Sus scrofa: one gene and its partner. The protein of the gene in region 2 purifies or fractionates together with the protein of the main gene of each other region. This does not show direct contact. Links are inferred from orthologs where the notes say so. Each region holds a gene or a part of one and is shown on either strand. Other genes may lie near its edges. The genes, in order: ENDOD1 and SLC34A2.

The links.
Region 1: the proteins of SLC34A2 (region 2) and ENDOD1 purify together in Homo sapiens (co-immunoprecipitation; 3 studies listed by BioGRID and IntAct, counting the BioPlex papers as one, with this or other methods). This does not show direct contact. The link is inferred for Sus scrofa from reciprocal best matches to the Homo sapiens genes SLC34A2 and ENDOD1.

Annotation. Positions count from the first base shown.
Region 1 is NC_010451.4:27,132,694-27,136,607, reverse strand, and holds the start of ENDOD1 (endonuclease domain-containing 1 protein), read right to left. Parts: upstream 2,570-3,914; 5' UTR 2,501-2,569; coding exon 2,201-2,500; intron 1-2,200. UniProt on the Homo sapiens protein: May act as a DNase and a RNase. Plays a role in the modulation of innate immune signaling through the cGAS-STING pathway by interacting with RNF26.
Region 2 is NC_010450.4:19,498,096-19,501,909, reverse strand, and holds part of SLC34A2 (sodium-dependent phosphate transport protein 2B), read right to left. Parts: intron 3,341-3,814; coding exon 3,229-3,340; intron 511-3,228; coding exon 315-510; intron 1-314. UniProt on the Homo sapiens protein: Involved in actively transporting phosphate into cells via Na(+) cotransport.

The DNA of each region.
Region 1 (3,914 bases), on a different chromosome or scaffold from region 2:
AAGCATCCTGCTGGCAGTGCTCAGCCACGGGAGGGTTCCTACCTCCCCAGAGGGGAACTCTGGCCTCCTGTGCTTTTCCAAACCACTGCACCTCTCGCGTCTCAAGCTGCCATTCGGAAGTCTTCCCCTTGCTCCTTCCCCACCCTCTTTTAGCTCCCCAGTGCCATTCCCCATCCCCTGGGGCCCAGGATCTCCACTGCCTACAGGACGGTTCTGTCCACTTCCCCTCTGCAGAATGAGCCATGCTCCTTCGGGCTCCTTCAATAACTGCATATAGGGGTCAGCCCCGATGCCCCCAAGCCCTGCTGGACCACTCCTCCACATTGCCGCCTCCCTTCCAAGACTCCTCTCAATTCTGATCTTCTGAGTAGCCCATCATCTACTCCCTTGCACTGGTTGAGCTGCTCCAACCACTCCCTACACACTAATCCTTGAGTCGGCCCCGTAGTGCTCACTCAGCATGTCCCCTCTGCTGGGGGTGTCCTCTTCCTTGTCTCCTCCCTGCACCATGCCTCATCTTCTAGGCACAGCACAAATGTCACTCTGACCTGAAGCCTTACCCCTGTCACCTCCAAGACAGATGAAATCTCATAGGACTTTTTTTACATTTTTAACCTGAGGGTGTTTTGCTCATGTCACAATAACAGCTAGGACTTATGTGCCAGGCACGCCTGAGAGCACTTTATATAGAGGAACTCACTTAATCCTCAAAATTCCCATTATGACCTCTAAGTTGACCTGCCCACATTTACAGTGAGTCCATGGAAGAACTAAGGCCTGATTCCACACGCTGTGTGGCCCTGATCAGAGGTGATGCCCCCTTTCCACCCAGCAGACCAGGGGGGCTCTGAGTCCCAGAACGACACTCTGTCTCCAGCACCCCAATTGCCTGGCACACAGCGGGTACCCACTAGCTGGGGTACTTCTAGATTTAACTCGAGCTCAAGGGGTAGAGTCGGGCACAAACTAACTTTAGATTAATATATGCCTTAAGTGTGCACAGTTTACACCCGACCTTATAGGTCCTGACCGCAACAGGATGTGGAGATGGTACGAAGACAGGTGCAGATGGCTTGAGTTCTGGTCAAGGTCCTTGAGCTAGGGATAACTGAATGTGATGACAGAAATTACAACCCAGGGCTCTGAATGAAACAGCTGGAAGCTGGTCCCCTATTCATGGTGCGGCCCTGGGCAGCCATGGCCATCAAGAACGGGTGAACTGAGTAGTCAGCTCCTTCCCCAGCTAGGGGGCAAGCCAGCCTGGCTGGGTGTTCTAGAGAAGAGGCTTGTCTCTGGAGGTAGACATGTGACAAGAGGTGTTAAGACAGGTTCAGTAGGGTCTCTGGGGGCCTCTTGGAATATTTGGTCACTCTCACCAGACAGAAGTAAAAACGCTGAGGCATGACCCGGTTTCTAAGTGGTCAGATAATGTGGATAGGAAGAGTCAGGAAAAACTGGTTTGTCTTTCCTCTTAGTTGGAGGTAGTCAATGTTTCCCTGCTATTTGTAACTATCCCATTGCATTTCTAAAAATCTGCACCTTCATTCCATTGTCCTAACTCAACACAACTTCAGATCGAATTTACTCAATGTCCCATGCAGAAGGAAAGGTTTTTCAGGCTCAGGTGGCCTGTGCAGAAGGGCAGCGTTTTCCTACTAGGAAAGGCAGTGAACTTCTAGCCAAAAGACCTGCCCATCTCTCTGCAAGTCTCTTCACCCGCCCTGAGCCTTGATCTCCTCTTCTGTAAACTGGGCATGAAAATGCCCAGCCACCCACCCACTCCCACAGAATTGCGGCAGCGACTTGCACCAAGGTCTCTGAGCTCCCAGCCTAGGCTTTCCGAAGATCCGAATGGTTTCCTGAGTCTCGGTCTCATATTCCTCTCGATTCAGGAAACGAATGAGACACTGCAGGTGTCCACACTGAAGTGCAGGGAGAACCCCTTCCCACTGGGGACCTCGGACCCCTGGAACTTAAGCGAAGTCTCGCACAGCACCGAGCTCTGGCTGTGGCTTTGACGCAGGGCGAGGCAGGCTGCAACTCGGGGGCGCGGTGGGGCGGATCGGAAACCCGGTTTCCCGACCTGGCACCGAGGGCTGGGGCTGCCCTTCTGCCCTTCCCCACCCTACCGCTAGCAGTGGCCACAGAGCGCCCCGGGGAGGCCAGCCCAGCGGCCGGGCTCGGGAAGCGCCTCGCTTACCTGCGGCTCCACCAGCCAGCGCTGCTCTGCGCCCAGCGGCGCGGGATGCGCGGCGCGGAACGCCGAGTACACGGGGATGCGGTCCCCGGTGCTGTACAAGGTGGCGAAGCGCTCGGCGCCCTCGGATCGCTGACAGATCTTCACGTGGGCAGCGGCCGCCAGCCCCGCGGGCGGGGTCCCGGCGTAGAAGAAGCGGTTGCATTCGCCGAAGCCGGCTTCCTCCTTGCGCACGAGCCGGCCCTCCAGCAGCCCGGCCAGGGCGAGGAGGCCGCCCAGCGCCAACCAGCGCGCGGGGCCCATGGCGCGTCTGCCGGCCGGACCGGGAGCGCGCGAGGCCGCCGAGCCGAGCGGCGGGGAAATCGGAAGCCGGGCGCGGCGCTGGGCGGGCCGGGCTGGGCGGCCCCGGCGGCGGGGGCGGTCCGCTCCCGGAGGCCGCGCCTCCTTTGCACCCTCCTTCCTGAAGATGGCCGCGCAGGCCAGGGCTCCGGCACCCGGCTGCGGACCAGATCCCCTGGGCTGCACCCGGCCTTGCGCCCCTGGTCCGCGCTCGCAGGCTCGGAAACGGGCGGTCCTCCCGAGGCTGAAAGGTCTGAACTGAGTCGGCTTACTCAAAGGGAACGGGAAGGGACGGTCCCCGGGGCAGGGAGCCTAATAGCCTCCTGAGCTAGCGCGCCCCAGGGACACTCAGGGATGCTAAGGGGCGGCTTGAGAGGACCACAGAACTGTGGCTCTTTGGAGCGGATGGGCGGGGACCTCCTGTGAAATCCGGTGAAAAGCAGTCTCCCGGTCCCCGACAAAACGCTCATTCGCCGGCATAAGAACACAATTTTGATGTAGCTTTAGCACATCTGAAGCCAGGAGATCCAAGAAATCCTGTTACAGGAAATTCCTAACCTAGGCAGATAGTACAGCCTATCTGTGGTTTACTTGGTGCGAAGGTTAGTATTAAAACCCAAACCGGAGTTCCCATCGTGGCTTAGCGGCAACGAATCTGACTAGCATCCATGAGTACCCAGGTTCGATCCCTGGCCTGGCTCAGTGGGTTAAGGAACCGTCCTAGCGAGAGAGCTGTGGTTTTGGTCGCAGAGGCGGCTCAGATCTGGCAGTTGCTGTGGTTGTGGTAGGCGGGCAGCTACTGCTTGGATTCAACCCCTATCCTGGGAACCTCCATATGCTTCAGGTGTGGCCCTAAAGAGACATACATACATACATACATACGTACATACATACGTACATAAATAAATAAAATATAACCAAAACCAAGAAAGAAACACGACAAGCGAACATCCCTGGGTTGGTACCTTTGTTGATTCATTACTTCATTACCTCTGTGTCAACCTGGATTAGGCAGCTGAGTACCATGGTAAACAAGAATAGGGTCCCTGTGGTCTAAAGACTAAGCCTAGTGGGAAAGCTTGTAGTTAATCAAAGAAGCAGGCTATTAAAGGAATAATGAAACACTAACATGGAGCTGTGAAACCTGCCCCTCCAGGGATTCAGGGCATGGTCTGGGAAAGCTGGCCTGCAAAAGTGGCATCTGAATTGAGACCAAGAGGATGACATGATCTAGGCAAAGAGGAAAGCAACCTGTGCCGAGGGGTCTCCCAGCAGGAGGGTACAGGATGTGTTGGAGGAATTTAAGGAAGGTGGGTGTGTGTACAACAGAGAACTGGGGGAAGGGATTGTGAGAAAAGGGGCTAAAGAAGGAGGCAGA
Region 2 (3,814 bases):
AACCACGTCCTCTTTGGCGGGGAGCAAGGGTACTGTTTCATCAGTGAGCCCCGCCAGTGGTGGGAACAAAGGGCTCCCATGTCCTTGGGTAACCATCCCCCACTCCCACCCCCAAAAAGATGAGACACATGTTGAAGTCAAGGAGGCCAATTACTCCGTCCCACTGAGTGTCAATCTCCCTGGGCTTTTCCAGAGGCAGCCGAAGGGGGCAGTTCACAGACCCTCACCCATCTCTTCCATCTCTGCCTGGCTAAGCAGGAATGTGGGGCGGGGGTGGGGGAGTTAGCACCTTTCTCTGAAGGAACCCAGGTTACCTGGACGATGAGCTTCGTGAAGGGATCAGTGATAACTTTCAGAAGTTCTGGGGCATCCTCTCCACTCTTGAAGTGGAAGCTCTCCACCACCGTGCTGGTCAGGCGCTCCAGGTAACCGGTGGCTGCCTCCAGAGGCAAGAGCACCAACACGGAGAGCCAGTTGAAGAAGTCGTGGACAGTGGCCCCTGCAAAAGCCCTGCAGCAAGGGAAGGAACACCACCCCGAGCCAAATCAGTCAACCAGCCAGTGGGCACCAATCACCTAGGCAAGTCGTCACTTGTATCAACTGCCAGGTGTCACCTCTCTGTGTATGTACATGCGTACAATCCTTTCATTCTCACAGCAATCCCCAAAGTGGGTGGTCTTAATATTCCCATTCGGCAGATGGGGAAGCTGAGGGTCAGCAAGCGTGAAGGAATCGAAGACCACTGCATGTGCTCTGGTTCCTGGATCCTGGTTTTCCACTGTCTGGCAGAGTCCCTCCCACCAAAGCTGACAGTCCTTAGTTGGCTCCGCTTGGGAAAAATGGAGCTAGAGGTGGTCTGGCTGCAAGAATTAGCTCATCGAGCACTATTTGAAAAAAAACCTTCAAGACCACTTTTGAATCCACACATATTGAAGACAACCCAACCCTCCTTTTGGAAAGATGGGGGCCAGTCGTTAACCATCAAAGCCTCCTACATAACTGAATTCTTAACTTTAAGATCTTGAGACTTGTTCAAACATTTAAACAGCCTCCACAGGAAACAAAGCTGACATATACCACAATTTTCAACTGAGAAGGTTCAAAGATGCCCCATGAATTCTGTCTTATCTCCAGCTTAAGAAACTCATTTAAAAAATGGCTCAGTTGGAGTTCCCGTCGTGGCGCAGTGGTTAAGGAATCCCGACTAGGAACCATGAGGCTGCGGGTTCGATCCCTGGCCTTGCTCAGTGGGTTAAGGATCCAGTGTTGCCATGAGCTATGGTGTAGGTTGCAGACGAAGCTCGGATCCCGAGTTGCTATGGCTCTGAGGTAGGCTGGCGGCTACAGATCCTATTAGACCCCTAGCCTGGGAACCTCCATATGCTGTGGGAGCAGCCCTAGAAAATGCAAAAAAAAAAAAAAAAAAAAAAAAAAGAAGACCAAAAAAATAATAATAAAATAAAATAAAAATAAAAAATGGCTCAGTGGGTTAAGGATCCAGCGTTGCCATAAGTGGCAACAACATAGCTCACAGACGTGGCTTGGATCCAGTGTTGTTGGGACTGTGGCATAGGCCTGTAGGTGCAGATCTGATTCGACCCCTAGCCTGGGAACTTCCATATGCTGCCAAACCAAAGAGGACACAGAACATGAACAAACAGAAGCAAATAACACATGGGGGAGAAACCCTTGACCTCACTAGTAATAGAAGAAATTTGCAATTTATTTATGTGGAAGCACAAATTTCCACTTACCCTATTAACTAATACGTTACAATGTTAACTTTTTCTTCCTGGAGAGGATGGATTAAGTTTTAGGATTTTTAAGACATTTTCATACACTGCCAACACAAAGTGATACAAATACTTCTTCATAGTTTGGCAAAATATTTAAAGAGCCTTATAGTTGTTTGAGATAGTAATTATTGTTCTAGAAATCTATCTAGGAACAAATTACCTGGATGGAATGATACCTATTTCCCAAGATGTTACTGAAAGCATTGTATTTAAATATCCCAAACAGGGGTGTGTTAGGTCAATTATATTCCTATGTACAAGCACTTTCAAAGATTTTTAAAGGTTGTATTCCACGTATAGTTATTATAAAATATTGGCTATATTCCCTGTATTGTGTAATACATCCTTATAGCTCATTTTACACCCAGTAGTTATACACTTACTCCCCTCCCCCATCCGGCCCTTCCTGCTCCCCTCTCTCCACTGGTAACTGCTCATATCTGTGAGTTTTGCTTCTTTTGTTTTATTCACTAGTTTGTGGTATTTTTCTGTCTCCACACATAAGTGATATCACATAGTATTTGTTTCTGTCTGACTCATTTCACTTAGCATAATGCCCTGCATGTCCACCCATGTTGCTGAAAATGGTGAAAATCTCATTCTTTAAGGCTGGGTATAGATCATATGTATATAGCACATATAACACATGTACCACATCCTCTTTATCCATTGCTCTGGGGATAGATATTTCCATAACTTGGCAATTGTAAATAATGTTGCTCTGAATATCGGAGTGCATGTATCTTTTCAAAGAAGTGTTTTTGGGTTTTGGTTTGTCTTTTTTTTTTTTTTTTGGTTGGGGAGTGCTTCTCTATTTTGACAAACTCTGGAAAAAGCCCAGCACCAGTTAGAAGTGAGCCTGTGAAATGTGCTTAGTTTTCACATTAACATGCTGGAAGAAAAGGGTTCTCTTTGCCTGAATTCACCCCTCTGCGTCCCATTTTCAGATCTCACTCATCCACAATAAAGGCTCCTTTTTGCTTTTTATTGGCATGTGAGTGAAGAACAAAGAAAAAGTGGCATGGGTTGAACCGGCCCCAAATGGAAGCTTTTAGGAGCTTATAATGATTTCTGATTAAGTGAAACTATTCAAACTGGCCTTGTTTTAACTACACCACTCAGTAGGTCAAGCTTCGGGAGGGAGCCGGAGTGTGCAGGGCACCTTGCTAAGAATTTATCTCATGATCGTGTTCATTCCTTTAGACAGCGTGGTGGGTGAGAAATACGTTATCCCGGCTCTGCAGGTTGGGGAGCTTATTTAATCCACGGGTCAAAATGTGATCTCAGTCCCCAGCTGTACCCACCATGGCTTCATCTCACAAGTCTAGGGACAGCGACCCAGCTCCCATTGGCCACTTAACGGCAGTTAGGACAATGTGGTCTTGACACCGATGGGCCTGGTGGTGGCTAAGGCTTCACGTGAGCCTCCTACCTTCTGAACTCATTCCGGTCTCCTGCCTGCAAGAGAGCCACGAGGGTGTTGGTGATGGAGGTTCCGATGTTGGCTCCCATGATGATGGGGATTGCAGAGCGCACGGTCAGCACTGGAGGGAGAAAAGGCTAAGCGAGTTAGCAAGTTTAGGAAGGTCACTTGGCCATGTTTCCGATGTGGCCCAAGGCAAGCTGACATCTTTCGGGCTGGTAATCCACTAAAGCATCAGTTGTTTTTTTTTGTTTTTGTTTTTGTTTTTTTTTTTTTTTTAGGGCCGCACCCAGCAGCACATGGAGGTTCCCAGGCTAGGAGTCAAGTCGCAGCTACAGCTGCCAGTCTACACCACAACCACAGCCACGTGGGATCCGAACCACGTCTTCAACCTGCACCACAGCTCAGGGCAACACCAGCTCCTTAACCCACTGAGCGAGGCCAGGGATGGAACCTGTGTCCTCATGGATGCTAGTCATTTGTTAACTGCTGAGAACAGTTTTGGGAACTCCCTAAAGCATCAATTCTTGACCTCTTTAGGGTCTGCACCTCACTGTGAATCTGACAAAAGCTTGGAAAGCTCATTATAGAAATA